Astyanax mexicanus: one gene and its partner. Each later gene encodes a partner of the first gene's protein in a complex. Links are inferred from orthologs where the notes say so. Each region holds a gene or a part of one and is shown in the gene's direction. Other genes may lie near its edges.

The links.
Region 2: the proteins of gabbr2 (region 1) and kctd16b are in contact, whole or in part, in a crystal structure (PDB 6M8R), measured with the Homo sapiens proteins. The link is inferred for Astyanax mexicanus from reciprocal best matches to the Homo sapiens genes GABBR2 and KCTD16. Residues at the interface, in NP_005449.5 of Homo sapiens: Ile882, Asn883, Ile888, Gln889, Arg891, Leu892, Ser893, Leu894, Gln895, Leu896, Pro897, Ile898, Leu899; in NP_001357415.1 of Homo sapiens: Asn30, Gly32, Gly33, Gln34, Val35, Tyr36, Asp64, Leu65, Ala66, Lys67, Asp68, Ser69, Arg72, Phe74, Gly79, Phe80, Arg83.

The regions. Positions count from the first base shown.
Region 1 is NC_064410.1:47,770,034-47,778,401, reverse strand, and holds the start of gabbr2 (gamma-aminobutyric acid type B receptor subunit 2), read left to right. Parts: upstream 1-5,161; 5' UTR 5,162-6,085; coding exon 6,086-6,355; intron 6,356-8,368. UniProt on the Homo sapiens protein: Component of a heterodimeric G-protein coupled receptor for GABA, formed by GABBR1 and GABBR2. Within the heterodimeric GABA receptor, only GABBR1 seems to bind agonists, while GABBR2 mediates coupling to G proteins.
Region 2 is NC_064424.1:21,114,269-21,122,236, forward strand, and holds the start of kctd16b (BTB/POZ domain-containing protein KCTD16b), read left to right. Parts: upstream 1-4,783; 5' UTR 4,784-5,966; coding exon 5,967-6,813; intron 6,814-7,968. UniProt on the Homo sapiens protein: Auxiliary subunit of GABA-B receptors that determine the pharmacology and kinetics of the receptor response. Increases agonist potency and markedly alter the G-protein signaling of the receptors by accelerating onset and promoting desensitization.

The DNA.
Region 1 (8,368 bases):
AATTCTCCACACTGAAGTTAATTTGTTTTGTAAGCTTACTTTTTAATAGTCAAAATAGAATAGTTTCCCAATGGTGGAACAATCTACCCTCTACTACCAGATCAGGAGCATCCCTCACTATCTTCAAGAAACTCCTGAAGACAGAGCTCTTCAAAGAGCACTTACTCTCTTAACACCTCTAACAAACTAACTACTTCTAACCCTAATTTCCTTCTTCCCCTCCTTTCCTCCTCCATCCCACTATTTCCCTTATTGGCCTCCCCCTTTTTTTTTTTTTTACCTTGAACTGCTATGTCTTTTATTGCTAAACGTACTTCATTATTCATTACATTTTGGAAAAAAGTGTCTACCAAATGTAATGTAATGTAATATTCAGATTTAGACTGTTTTAAAATTGATTGTGGAGCTTCTGCTTATGAGAAAAATGTCTTTTAAACCCAAAGCTCCTCTAGATCTGATCTTTAAAAAGATGAAATGTCCCCACTGGTCTGTATAAAGATCTACTAAAGGACAAATCTATCTGCTGTCAGGTAAAACCTCTTTATTGAAGCTCTCCCTGGAAACATTAGGAATCGGTTTAATATGTCATATAATCTTTTCATTACAACTCTGGGCCCTGTCTTATTGTAGGGTGTTGTAAATGTTGGACAGCAAGGGATATTAAAACCTGCAGCTCTCTGTCTTTTAATCTTATTTCCTTTATGTATCCTCACGGGAATTGAACCTGTGACCTTGCATTTATAGATCTGAGGCAATTCATCAGAGTGTCCCTGGCATAACTCTTATTGTGTGAGTGTGTGTCGTCTGGGACACTTTAAATATTACTGCTTGCATTGTTGGTGAATGGTTTGTTCAGACAGCAGAGAATGTTAAGGATCTGTTCCTGAAGATGCTGGAAGGCTTGTTTGAGTGTTTGAATCTGCGTAGTACCCTAGAACCTTTAAGAAGCCGCTTCCTGTTTTAAAAATGACATGCTGTAAATCTCACGCCTGAACGGATATATATTTCCCCAGGATCAAATGGGATTATCATTCACAGGCGACACGTCTCCATGTTCATGGCACGTTTCTTTTAATAAATGGCTAGCTGGGGAGACACTGAAAAAAAATGGATGGGGATTTTTTAAGGTTTAATTTTTCATTCGTGCTGTTTTGAATATTTGATGATCAAAATTCTGACTGCATCCAGCAGGAATGCATTGTCAGAGGTGCACTGAAGGATATCCTTGGGCTGTCCTATTAATCTCTATTAAGCACAGACATGTCAGACAAGCCTGTAGGTGTGTGTGTGTAAGTGTGTATCTGTTTGTCTGTTTGCTGGTGTGGGCGTGTCTACATGTGTATTATTGGCAGAAAGATTGCTCAAAGATTGTTTTCATATTTAGCCTGTTACAAATATATAAGGGAATCCATATAATACATACTGTATACACTGACATACCTGAAGTACTGAGAAAGCATAATGATGTGTTACCTCAGGAGGTGGCTTGGAAAAAGCCCACGCCTGCATAAGTTGTGAGGTGTTATCTTGTGAACAAGATTCAACACTGGCCAGCATTATCATGGCAAAGTGATGGGAAGTATTAGAGCTTAAGTGAGGCCTGATAGGAGGTGCTGGATGGATGCGACATTCCATTTCCATTTCAGTTGTGCAAGCTTTTAACATTATTTAATCCGCAGTGTCTTCTTTGTACTGAGAGATTTATACATCATATAAATCATATATATTAACCATATATATATCTCATATATATATATATATATATATATATATATATATATATATATATATATATATATATATATATATATATATATATATATATATTTATAATATGACTTACAGTGAACAGTTCAGTGAGTAGTAATAATCATGACCAGTGGCATATGGCAAGAATTGTTCGTATACACAGACAGAAACTTCTATGATGTCTATGGGGGGCTTCCCTACTAGCCCACCACGCTCCGCAAAACCAGCAAGCTGATTGGTTGTTTCTCCTAAAAGGTGAAACTTTATCCATGAACTGGCTCTGTGATTAGAATGAAGAGTTTTATCATTCTCGCACGGCTAGTGGTCTGTCTCTTCAGTAATAATACAGCTGAGCTGAGCGAAACGATTCGGGGCTGCTGGAAAATTATTCGGGGCTAAAGCCCCGGAAGCCCAGTCCAGGCGATGCCCCTGCCCCTACTTATTTATGGTTTCTTTTGAGATCTTTTTTTAAGCAGCTGTCTACTGTCCAGGAAAGGCTTTCTATTAGAATTTGGAGCATTGCTGAGAAATTTGAATACATTCACTGTCTAGAGCATGCTTATTGATCTCCAACCCCTATACCCACCTTGTCACCAACTGTCCAACTCATCCCAAAAGTATTAGACAGAGCACCATCATTCAAGAGTACACAGTTCCACTGCTTTACCGCTCAGTGTTGAGGCCCCTTTCCTCCCTCTAGCCCATGCCTGATATTAGGAAAAAGAAAAAGAATCAAACAACTGGAAAAATAAATGAATAAAGTACAGTGACGGGTGGTGCAGTAGTGCAGCAGCTCCGGACACTGGGCATCTGGGGTTGTAGGTTCAATCCTGGCTCTGTTCACTGTCTGAAAGGAGTTAGGTAAATTCCCCCCGTGTCTGTAGATCAACTGCCTATTCTAACTTGCCCCTAGACCTGAGTGAATGAGTAATTGTGGTACACTGTAGAAGCTGTGTATGCCTGCAGTCGATGATCCTAGGTACTGCTGAGCCCATCTTGACCCTGACCAACCCTGAAGCAGACAGGAAGATGGATGGATGGCTGGATGAATGGAAGTATGATGACTTATTAAGGCCTGACATGCAATCAGTTAATGAGTTATTGTTATGATTTTACAGCCTCTAGCAAAAAGAAAAATGCCATTCAAAACCAAATGCACACTCCCACAGTACATTAACACACATGTGCATCAGCTTCTGGTCATTCTGGTCTATTAGATCAAATTCTATTGGACAAGTGGATGAGCATTTATCATTTCACACAGACAATACGCTTCAGTGCTGAGTCACGGATCTCGCTTTTGTCAGATTTCAGATGGACTTAGTATAAAACCACGGTACAATGGGAGACACTCGAGCGTGCAGACATCTGATGAATACTGCATTGTATTAGCAGCTCACAGTCTGCAGTGGGCAGAATGAGTTCTGGCTAGATTTGCTGTGTGAAAACTCCAGTGCTCGATGGATCCACCTGATAAGGACTGTGTTATATGAGTGGTTCCCTAGAACCCAGTTTTTTTTATCTGTCTATACTGTATGTGAAAGGAACTGTTCATGTGACAAGATTGTAGTTCCTGCCGAAACTTTGAGTATAATTGCAGTGTTGATTCATGGCTGGTTGCTTTGGTGCATCTGCTGGTTGCTATTGTCTTGCTAAGCGGTTGCTAGCTGGTTGCTGAAGTGTTGCTAGGTGATTGCTAAGCTGTTGGGGGTGTCCAAAGTTTGAGCATGGCTATGGTCGCTAGACTGGTCTGGATGCATGGGCTGGCGTGCCGGGGTGTCCAAACTTTTGAGAGCGCTTATGTATGCTAGGTTGCTCTGGACATGCGGGGAGTCCAAATGTTTGACCAATAATATCTAGTTTATCCAATAGCTCCTCCATACACACACAGTACTGGAGCGGTGACCGGTGTGCCGGGGTGTCCAAACTATTGACCAATATCTATATTGGACCATTGTTCTCTACTGGTATGTGAATGCATGTTAAGGGAGATGCCTTTATTGAGACGTTGATGTAAAATTGATTTGTCAATATAATACTGCTTATTGCACATTGCATATTCACAGTCAAAATTTTACATTATTTTTATGGTTAAAAAAAGTGTTACTGAAGTGCCCTCTAGAGTGGCATTAACAAAGTGCCCTAGTGGCTGCTTCTCTTATGGCGATGTAATAAAGTCCCTACTATGGCTGTCTTACAATAACTTATAATGACGTGCCCTATAGAGCAATAATATTTAATAATGCATCTTAATAAGTGTCCATCTATGGATGGACTTTTACCATTTCAATAGAAGAAGGTGCAGTTACAGAGTGTCTTCTATGCCATCCCTACCAGACAGTGTCCAAAAGGGATGCCCTGTCTGAAAAAAGGATGCAGTGCTGTATAGGGCACTTCTCCAGGTACCCAGAAAACATAAAAGTGCTTATTTAAAGGAGAATTGCACTACTAGTTGTTAATTTCTATAATTTTAATTTATTTACTTTTTATCATCCTTCCTTCATTCCAGCAGTCAATAGATACTGTTTGAGTACATATACATCTGGTGCAGCCAGATCAGGACCACGGACAGCACCCTGACTCTGAACTTCCAAAAAGAGATAAAAGAGATAATCTCCCACTGCTGAATTACATGATCCTAATGCAGAACAATGTAAAAGCAAAAGGTGCAGCCCATCAATATCATTTGGCATTGCTGTATTGCTAGGTGGCACTGTTTATTGGAATGGAAGTGTAGTGCTGGACTGCAGAACGATTTATGTGCAATTTCCTGCAACCTAATCTCTGCATATCAGATGCTCAGGAACACCTTTTCCTTACATAATATTCTCTGAAAGAGACAGTGAATCTCGCTCAGTGAATATCTGCTTTAAATCAAAACACAAGTCTTGCAAACTAAACCACGCTAATGCTTGCATCCATCATTTTGTTTAAATGTGACTTTCATAGCATCTAGGAGACGTTAGATAGGTAGCTTGCACGAGACTGTTACATCAACAATCTTGCGCGTGCACTTCTCTCTCTCTATTTTCTGAGCTCTCGCTCTCTTTCTGATCTCTCTCTCTCTTCACCTATCCCTAAGCTCTCTTCCTACTTCTCTACCTCTCTCTCTCTCTCTCTCCACCTATCCTTCTTGCGCTCACTCTGCATCCCTCTGTTTTCATCTCTCTCTCTCTCTCTCTCTCTCTCTCCTTCTCTATTTTATGCGCACACTCTGCCTGCTCTCTCTCTCCCTCTATGTGTGCTCTCTCTCTCTTTTCTGAGCTCTCTCTCTTTTCTAAGCTCTCTTCCTACTTCTCTACCTCTCTCTCTGTCTCTCTGTCTCTCTCTCTCTCTCTCTCCTTCTTTATTTTATGCGCGCACACTCTGCTCTCTCTCTCTCTCTCTCTCTCTCTCTCTCTCTCCCCCTCCCTCCCTCGTGTTTTTTTCTGAGCCACTCAGGCGCGCGCTCTCCGCAGCAGCAGAAGCAGCAGAAGCAGCGCGTGCAGGCAGGCCGCTCTTCCTCCTTATCATCTTCCTCCTCCTCAGCTCTTCTTCATCATCATTTGGGGAATTGTGCGTCAGGACTGTACGCTGAGCTTCCCGCGGACTTTGTATAATATTCGCCTTTCTGGAGGTGCGAGCTAACCTGCGCGCGCGCGAGAGAGAGAGGGGATTCCGGGCTCGCGCTTTCGTGCTTTCGCTCTTGCGCGCTGGACCCGCTGCATCCTTGCCTCAGTGGCTCTCTCGCTCACGGAGCGACATTGACTCGCGCTTCGCAACTTCGCACGGATTAAACGGGGAAGGGGGTCGCGTGCGAGCAGAGGAAAGTACAACATTATATATATACACACACACGGGACCGGAGCTGCACGGGCACCGGAGTGGCACGCGGAGGGGGTAGGGGGAAACTCTCCTTCCCTATATATATTCTTCTTCTTCTTCCTTCTCCTCCTCATCCTCCTCTCCTGTGGAATTAAAGCTACCTTCATCATCATCACTCTTCCGACTCTACCGCCAGCGCGCCTACGAGCACCTATACCCCCGTGCCACCCTCCTCCTCCTCTTCTTCCTCCTCTTCTCCTCTTCCCTCCTCCTCCTCCCTCTCTCTCTCTCTCTCTCTCTCTCTCTCCAGACCCCTCAGCTTCTCCTCTCAGAGCATCGCAATGCCCGCGCGCTGAGTCCGGCGCGGCTCCTTAAGCTCACCCCCATCCTCCTCCCCTGCGCGCGCGCGCACGGCGGCGGCAGCAGCATCAGCACCAGCACCAGCACCAGCCTCAGCATCATCATCAGCCTAGACAGCAGCGGCAGCATCAGTAGCGGCTGAAGCGGCAGTGGCAGCGGCAGTGGCAGCGGCATGGCTCCGTCCCTGCTCCTCGCCTCCAGCTGCCTGCTCCTGGCGACCCTGGCCACGGCCAAGGTGTGCAACGACTACACCGGCCACAGCGTGGACGCAGCGTGGTCGGCCAGGGACGTGCCCATCATGGTGCTCATGCCCATGAACGAGTCTGCGCTGATGAGCAGCATCAGCCAGGGCATCGAGCCCGCGGTGCAGCTCGCCATCCGCCACATCCGCGAATCCCGCAAGTACGCCTTCTCTCTCATCACCAAGATCTACGACACTGAGGTACGTGGGAGAGTGTTTGTTTCAGGGTCGTGTCTTGTGTGTGTGTGTGCGTGAGTGTGCGTACGCGCGTGTTGTGGCGTATCCCAGAGAGTGTGCGTATCCCACAGATCCAGCCAGGATCGTAAATGCGTGTAAATGCATACATAAATGGTCGTAAGGACGCAGTGTTGCAATGTAGCTCGTGCGCTACGTCTGTCTATTTTGTCTTGAAGCCCCCCTCAAAGCATCAAAACAATCCAAATACGATCATATTCATATGCCCCCTCCAATCAGGTGTTATATAGTACAAAAATAAAGCAACCCCCCTTCTTCACCACCCATCCCACGTGCACACAGCTCGTGACACCGTCACCCACCGCCTCCCTGCTCATTATGCTCATTATAGACAGGTAGAGCTCACATCATAGATCAGCCTGTAGTTGACTGACTACAGTAGCACTTTACAGTAGTAGCAGAACCAGCATCCAATCAGAAGCCCCGTATTTGAATGCTAATGCAAAATTCAAGGCTGTGTTATTCCTATAGCAGCAATACATTATGCAGCAGTTTCCATAGTGCGGTAAACACACTGGCTGCTCAGTCAGCTGGGAAAGGCAGCATGATGCTATTATAGGGGTCCAAGCACTTTTCCAAATATATTGTATATTGGTATTGTAAATACCAATAATAATATATGGATTGATTGATTAAGCATAACAAGCATATTCATCAACCTACACCCCTACGTTCCTTCACACATATTCTATAAGTCTTATTTTATGCTCCTCACATATAAAAAACAAGAACTGAGCTTTCCTCTCTCCTCACCTGGATGTGTAGATGTGCTTGGTTTCCTTTACACCTGAAGATGGCAGTCATTTGTTAGGGTTTCTCTGGCTGCATCTGACCTTAGCTTTTACAGCTCCTCCAAGGATATACAGGAATTGGAATGTAATTGCAGCCTGGACACATTAAGGCTCAAACTAAATGCTCAGGATCCTAAAGAGCAGTGTGGAAGACTTATGGTGCTCAACTCTACACTTTTTAGAACAGACTAAAGATCTAAAGGACATTTCAGTATTGTTTTGTTTTGGGATGGAAAAAGTGGATTTTATGTAATGGAACCTTTACACCAAATTCAACACATATTTTGCCATCTGTGTTCTGTAAACCAGGCTCACAACTTTATAGTTTTATCTGCATTTACTCACTTTAATTTACATCGTGCGTACAAGTGCTTACTACCAAGGGAAGCTATATATTTGTGGTTCTTTGTGAACGTAAACAGAATTGGATGCTTCAATTGATGATCCACCATATATTTGCACAGATAATTGCACAAGCTTGCACTTAAAATGTTTTGGACCATTAAAACGCACTTTTGAAGTTTTTTGCTGTAAAATTTGGACTTTGTGAAAAAGGAAGAGATTGCTAATTGGTCAGAGAGAATTGTCAGTTTAAACGATACAAAACAGGAACAGGATCTCTTCAACAGTTTTCATTGTTATTGTGTCATCACATATCTCACCACTGATAAGGGTAGTAAAGGTGTTGATGTCATCACCAGCTACATTTGTGGGAGTGGGGGATGTGATAGTAGAAAATGAAACAGATGTCAAGTCGAGTAGAGTTAAATACTGTAGGTAATTCAGCATGAAATGGACTTGGGGTGTAGTGAAACGTGATAAAGAGTTTCAACTTTTGTCAAATAGCGATCCTCCATTCATCTCAACTATTCCGAAATACATCGCTTTTAGCCAATGCTCTCATCGGGCTTACAATGCAAGAGATTGCTAGAAATTGCTATTTTTACACCATTAACAAGCCCAAAGTAGCTCTATGCTTCACTGGTAGAATTCTGAGGGCCCTGATATTTAAAATGAGACACTGAGAATTTAGAAAATACACAAAATCGACGGATGAGCACAAACATAAAGGTAGGATAGTGGAACAAATTGTTAAATTAATTCTGTGGAAATGCATGAATTGCAGATGCTGCTGAAAATATCTCTATAATGTGCGTGCACTGAATTT
Region 2 (7,968 bases), on another chromosome or scaffold:
TAGAATGAAAGTTGGCCCTCTGTTAAACAGATTTTTATAATGTGAGATTCAAAGTTTGAACGCTAGGTGTCAGAAACGGGCCAAAGAGTCTAAAAGCGGAGAGAGTGCGCATTTCTAACGCAGAAAAACGGGCCAAAGAGTCTAAAAGCGGAGAGAGTGCGCATTTCTAACGCAGAAAAACGGGACAAAAGAGTCTAAAAGCGGAGAGAGTGCGCAGTTTTAGAGCAGAAAATCGGGCCAAAGAGTCTAAAAGCGGAGAGAGTGCGCAGTTTTAGCGCAGAAAAACGGGACAAAAGAGTCTAAAAGCGGAGAGAGTGCGCAGTTTTAGAGCAGAAAAACGGGCCAAAGAGTCTTAAAGTTGCCGTAATTAAGGAGTTTAATATTAAGAGACATCATAAAATGAAACATCAATTTGAAAAATCTTGGTTTACACAACATTGTGAAAGATAGTAAGTCAAGTAAAATGGTGTGTAAATGAAAGTAATCAGTAAAATGTATTATTTAAAGTAGTATATTTAATTATTTGTTTTATTATAGAGTCTGTGGCCCGTGACCAAATATATTTCTCCTTCTGGCCCCCAACAAAAAAAGTTTGGACACCCCTGCTATATACTATCTGTATGTTCTCAATGTACAGATATATATTTTACGCAGGCACATTGACAGGGTCCTCCGGAGTAGGTCCTCAACCATATGCCACGCCCCTTTCCTATGATACCACGCCCCCACGCAAGATCAGGGCCAAAAAAAAAGTCTGAAACCTGAAAACAACAGGCAAAACTTTTGACCCTAATTTAGCTCCATACTTCACCAGACCTATCCCCCATAGAAAATGAAAAGGGAGGCGATTAAATGTTCTTTACAACTCTATGAGGAACCTCTACAATACAGAGATGTTGCGATCCACATACATCACAAACAACTTCTGTAGGTGTAGCCCAATAAATATCACCAAGAGCATGTGCACTCCTGGCTTTCAGGTGCTGAACTGCAGAAAACTTCATGTAAAGAAGCATTTTATGAATAATGGGAAGGTCGGGTTAGACATTAATTGACAAGCAGGTAGGACCTATTGCATATTACTATTGCGTAGTACTTTTGTTGCACATGTTTCGATAAACTGGTTAGCTAATGTTCCAAAGCTTTAGGAAAATATTAAAATAATTTCTTAATTTAAAAACAATACAGAAAAAAAATGACTGATTCCAATGACAGGGCGAACATAACGTTATTTGTTGGCCATTAAAAGCAGAAGTGAACGAAAGCAAAGCCACCAGCAGCGAACATCCACTTTGAGCTATTTAAAGACAGCCAGGCAACTGCTGCACTCCACAGCAGCAGAAAAGAGCAGCTCTTGAGAGGTAGAAGCATGCATGTATTCATGATTACAGCTCTGGCCTACTTACAAATGAATGCACAGAGATTCCTGCTAACTCCATGCCCAACTCACTCCCTCTCTCAGGAACATGGTAGTTTGTGGAAGTGCAGAGCACAGGGAAAGATAACACAGAGTGGTATTGTTTGTGCTTTAGACTGTGCTGATTATATTAGCTCTATAAAGGTTTTTTTGGAGAAAGGCTGGTGGGTGTGGACTGATCGCTGTCCAGGGTGCTGAAAACGCTTTTCCATTTCAGGTGGGCATTAGTTCATTAAACTGTGGCTGCAGGGCAGGGCAAGACGACTTTACAAAATTCACCATGACTGTGATGACATCCAGCTCCAGAGGAAAAACCTATCAGACGCTGGAAACTGTTTAAACCCCAACGGACCCCCTGAGCAACTGATCAAAGTCTGTGAAATCATATAGCAAGTCGAAGGAGTGGGCCAGTGGTTCCTAATGCAAGAGTACAAATATACAAATATAATACAATTTCATAAGAAAATTAGTCTTAGTCTTAGGTAGGGCTGAAACTATTGATTATTTTGAGAGTTTTTTTTTTCTTTCAATTAATCGATTAGTCAATTAAACAATTATTTCTGACATGCCCTCCACTGTGTGAGCAAAGAAAGAGAGATAGAGGCTGCCTGGGAATCCACTCTCTCTACTTACTTTGTAGTTTTAAAATGACAAACAGATAAATGTGAAATTTAAATGCCCTTAAATGGTCAGAAGCCATTTAAGTCTTTTACTTTATTACAATTACAATAGAATAATTAGTAGACTTTCTGAGTCAACAAATTCTTATGATCGAAAAATGTATTTTGTCAACTTATCGTTGCAGCTCTAGTGTTACAGCAAAATTAGGGTATTAGAGAATTTTTTTTTTATTTAATTTTTTTCCCCATTTTCTCCCCAATTTTGCTCAGCCAATTACCCAACCCACTTATTAGGACTCCCCTATCACTATTAATGCCCCAACACACCAGGAGGGTGAAGACTAACACATGCCTTACCAAGAAGCACCACAGCGTGCTCAGAGGAAAGTGCAGTGACTAGTTTCAGATACATCAGCTCACATATGCCCTGTGCTGATCAACATCATCCTTTTAGTGATGTGGGGAGAGAGCGCCATCTACCCACCCGGAGGGAGCAGGGCCAATTTTGCTTCCTCTTAGCACCGGCAGCTGATTGCAAAGCTGCATGAGCGGGGGTTCGAACCTGCGACCTCCCACTCGTAGTGACAGCGCTTTAGACCGCTGGACTAACTAATAAGCTAAACTAATAAGCATTGGAATATTTGGTTACATACTTGATAGTTGAGCAGCCAACATTGACTATTCTACGCTATGAAAGGATACTGAAGTTAACATACAAACAGTGCCCTCCAATAGTATTGAAACAGTGAGGTCAATCCCATTATTTTAGCTGTAGACTGAAAACATTTGAATTTGACATTGAAAATTGACATTGACATTTCAGCTTTTATTTCCATTATTTATCTTTTAACATCAAACCCAAATGTTTTCAGTCTACAGCAGAAATAAAGGGATCTGCCTCACTGTTCCAATACTTTTGGAAGACTTTTTGGATTGTATCTTAGGTCTTGTGTATAGAGGTGTTGTTGAGAGTACATTAATTAACACAGCATCCATTCATCTTATTATCTGCTTATACCATACCAATATAATACCAACATATCCCAGGCCAAATTATTTTTTTTGTTAAACATGGAGCTGTTCAGAAACATCCAATAAGGTAGAGATGCTTGAAATCTATGTTTTCTGCATTTTGTGTATTATGTAAACAGGGAAAACAGGGCTTTTAAAAAACACAGACGTCACAATGCAATTTCTGCCTGAATCTCAACTACCTTTTTACTCCCTATACAGTTAACTTCATTGTCATATTTGGTCGAGCAAAAACTGTACTATTACCAATATATCATGCTTTATCCAGATTTAGAAACTATATTTTCCTGATTCGCATTGTAAACTACTTAGGCAGTAGTGCGTCATTTGGGATTAAACCTCTTAAACTCTTAAGTTTTCTTCCTTCTTTGTGGGGTTTTGATGTCTCTCTTAATGAGATACTATAACACAGTACTAGTGTACTAATGCAAGCACTTTCGTCTTTGTGTAGATACACAAATAAAAAAATAATAAAGTGAGAGAAAACTGCATTTTATATTTTAAAGTAGCTGGATATGTGTAGGTGTTTCCAGAATTGTTACAACACTGTTGGGGTTAGGGGTAAGAGAAATCATATATTAATCAGATAGTTTGGAGACATGTTTGAATTATTTCTCACCTTAAAAATGTTTAGCTTGGATGCTATAGCATTGCAACATCAAGATAGGATTTTTTTCATTAGATGCTATTAAAAAATAAAAAAATCCATTGTGTTCCAAGAGTGTTTCAAGAGTACTTTGGTGAAATGTAACATTTTAGAAAATCTTGTTTATTTTTATTCTACAATTATTACAGAAATCAGTGTAAAAAGCTTGTGGTTTGACTTGTAGTAAAAATGATTTGCTGGAGGAAGGAACTGATGCAATTCTTTCTCTAAACCAGAACTCTTAATTTGGGAGAAGTTCCACCTTTTCCAAAGGCAATATACTGCTTATGACTCTCTGACATATGTGTCTTCTGTTGCTCCACCCCCATCCGAAACAGAGATTCTGATTGGTTCTGAGTTTACTTCAACCTCCCCTCCCCCCACCCGCCCTCATGAAAAAAAACCTATAAACTTCTATAGTGTAAATTACACTGAATTATACTTCCCGACTGAAGCAACACATACCTAATTTGACATTACACAGGGGCATGACAATATACAAAAAAACTAAAAACCTCTCCACAATGTTGGCTTTAATCTTATTTAAGCTTATTTTAACTACTGACAACATTTCTTCCAAACTGCCAATAACAAAATTATATGTATTTTATATTTATATAATGTCTAGCTTTTAGCAATGACAGCTGCTCAACGAAACAAAAAGCAATGTTTCCAAACTTCTAATGATGATCAAGTTAATAATCAGATTTATTAGCACAGCACTGATAATTTAACTGTGAAAAACATGTAGAAATCACTATTTGAATAATACAATTCATTCTGTTTTATATTCTACTCTAATCAACCACAGTTAATAGCGGAGAACTATAGTCGCTGATCGTTCACACGCGTACTGCTTTAAGATGATGTAATTCTTTATAAGCCATTATGCTTTTTCTACCCCCCCCCACACCCCCTCCCCCCCCCACCCCCCTCCCCCCCCCCCATCCTCCACAAACCGCTGAGGAAACATCAGCTGAGCCTTTTCTTTTTTTTTTTTTTTTCAGGCACCACCCTGATCGGGAAGAGAGTCGGTGCGCAGTCTCGAGCTGCTCCCCTGCTCTTCTCCTCCTCTTCCTCCTCCCCTTCCTCTTCTTCCTCCTTTTCCTCCACCGGGCGCGCGCATCCACCGGACCAAAATCAGCATACTCCTCTTTTTTCAGAGGCAAAGAGGTAAAAAAAAAAACAACAACAACAAAAACCGGGATGCAATCCAGGACAACCGGGATTAAAATCTAGGACTGATACGGTTCGCAGAATCCGCGCGCGGTGCTGGACCACACGGACGGTCCCTGATAAAGAAGAAAGAAGTGCGCGCGCGCTGTTTCTCTCTTTGAAGTTACAACCGGGACTATCATATTTTTTATACCTTCAAACCGCATCCACGCGCCGGCTTTCTTTCCGTTTTCCGTGCTCAGAAGTTGGATGCGCGTTAACGGGTTCAACTTCAGTTGAAGTTGGAAGTCGGTGGACTTACAGAAGCACTGCTGCTTTTTTTCTTTTGGAAGAGGAATAGACTATACATATTTTGACCGGCTTCTATATGAGAAGGAGTGTGTTATTTCTATTTGAGACCATCCATCAGTTCATCCCTCTATCTATCAATCCACTGAAGCTCCGCTTTACATAAGAAGAAGAGAAGCCCCCTCCCTCCCAACTGGAGGTGGGCTAGCCTACAGTTTTACCAGTTTTACGCACGGATATATTTATCAGCGTTATGTTTATTTAATTTTTTAACCGCTTTCCATAAGGGATCCTATTTTGGAGGTTTGGACTGCATGGCGCATTCCACCCAAACTCATCACTCCAGGGCGTTCAGGTCTGTGAATGCTTTCTGCTTTTATTTTGTTTGTCTGTTTGATTAATCGCAATCAAATCGATTTGGAGAAGCCGGAGAAGACTCGCGCTTGCACGGGATACTATACTGCGCGAAAGAGCGGTACTGTACGGGTTCTGTACACTGTTTTTGTGCAGATGTACCTTCCTCAGAGGTACAGAATGATCCTTCAGCTTCGAGAGGTGGCAAAAGGGGCACCACCCCAGTGACCCTAGTTTATTTTATTTTATTTATTTATATTTCTACCATTTTTGTTTTTTTTTTGGCTTGGGAGAAACTTTTTTGTTTTTTGGGTTGTTGTTTTTTTCGGCTCCACCAACAACAGATACATATAGGTGGATCTGCCAGCCTGCAAGCATCATCTTCATCATCCTCATCTCATCACATCACATCGCATCAGATCTGCCTCTCCCCATGACCGAAACCATGGCTCTGAGTGGGAACTGCAGGACTCAGCCCACGGCCAATAAAGACCAGGGGTCCGTCCAGAACAGCTTCCCAGACGTGATTGAGCTCAACGTCGGGGGGCAGGTGTACTACACCCGCCACTCCACCCTGACCAGCCACCCAGCTTCCTTCCTGGGCAAGCTGTTCTCCACCAAAAGTAACGCGTCCAACGACCTCGCCCGGGACCCCAAGGGCCGCTACTTCATTGACCGGGACGGTTTTTTGTTCCGCTATGTTCTGGACTACCTCAGGGACCGTCAGGTGGTTCTGCCCGACCACTTTCCCGAGAAGGGCCGCCTGAGGAAGGAGGCCGAATACTTCCAGCTTCCCGACCTGGTCAAACTGCTGACGCCCGAGGAGCCCAAGCCCAGCCCAGAGGAGTACTTGCACAGCGACTACGAGGACGGCTCTCAGGGCAGCGATCAGCGCGCTTGCCCGCCGCCCTCGTTAGTACCAGCGGACCGGCGGAGCGGCTTCATCACGGTCGGCTACCGGGGATCGTGTACGGCTGGACGGGAGAGCCAGACGGACGCGCGCTTCAGGCGCGTTCCGCGGATCATGATCTGCGGCAGGATCGCCCTGGCCAAGGAGGTCTTCGGGGAGACCCTGAACGAGAGCAGGGACCCGGACCGGACCCCTGAGCGCTACACGTCCCGCTTCTACCTGAAGTTCAAGCACCTGGAGCGCTCCTTCGACATGCTCTCCGAGTGCGGCTTCCAGATGGTGGCGTGCAACTCCTCCGTCACCGCCTCCTTCGTTAATCAGCACACGGACGACAAAGTGTGGTCGAGTTACACGGAGTACGTCTTTTACCGTAAGTCCTAACGAGCGCGCGCTCGAGCTGATGATGATTTAAATGCTGCACCTTAAAATTTCACTTCTGCACGAGCTGCTTTACACAGTACTAATAAAACCACACACACTGACGCCAGTAGATCCCCCAGTCGCCAGTAGAGGGCGCGCTTGCTTAGTTTGTAGCCAGAGTCTCGTGGCTTGTGGGTGGATGATTTTTTTTCTTTTCTATATTATTTGGACAAAAAAGATAAAAAATAAAAATTAAGTCTTACAGTAGGCACATGCAAAAAAAGTATCAACCACCAGATTGTACCCCTACCCTTAACATACACCACCCCCCCCCCTTCCAAAAAATAAAGGGGGAACCATGAAAAATGATTCTATACATATTTTAGGAGTTTTTAGGAGAGTACAACTACCTTGGTGTACTTGTACCAGTAAGCTATTAGTCTTGAAAGATAGTGCTGATACTTGTAGTGCTACAGATTGCATTGATTACCAGTTCTTGGAGAACTGGAGAACAGTTTTCAAGGAGAAAATAAGGAGTTTTTTGCTACAAAAAAAAAAAAAAAGATTTTAGGGTGTGGCCAAAATGCATAGGTAGTTTTTAAATATGCAGTATGAAATGTAGATACATGTAGATAAACATATCAAAGTTTATTTTCACTTTGAATGATTTGGTTTCAGAGTGTGGTTACAATGAACGCTGATTTCCCACAGTAATGCAAAATACATAGGGAAGAGCTACTTGCATCTGAAATAAAATGCAAATAGTTCTGGAATTGTGCATCTGGAAGAGATAGTGGTGGTGGTAAATGGTAGTCCACCTCCTAATTGGCTGGGGCACAGATTATAGCATGTGTTAAACATCATTTTCTTAATTTTTGACAAGATCAAAATAAAGTCTCACAGTATGCACATGCAAAAATATGTAGCAAGCACCAGATATTAGGTTAAACCCTCCACCAAACACACGCCCACCTTCCAAAAAAAAAATAAAAATAAAAACAGAACCAGGATAGAGTAATAAAATATTTACTCCTTAACCCTAGACTGTGTTGTACGTGCGGGCTGCTAGCCTTGGCCCTTACTGCTACTGTTTTTGCTCACTAGAAAGCTCCATGCTAGTAAATAAAATAATAAATTATGCTACTACTTAATTACTTAATTAAGT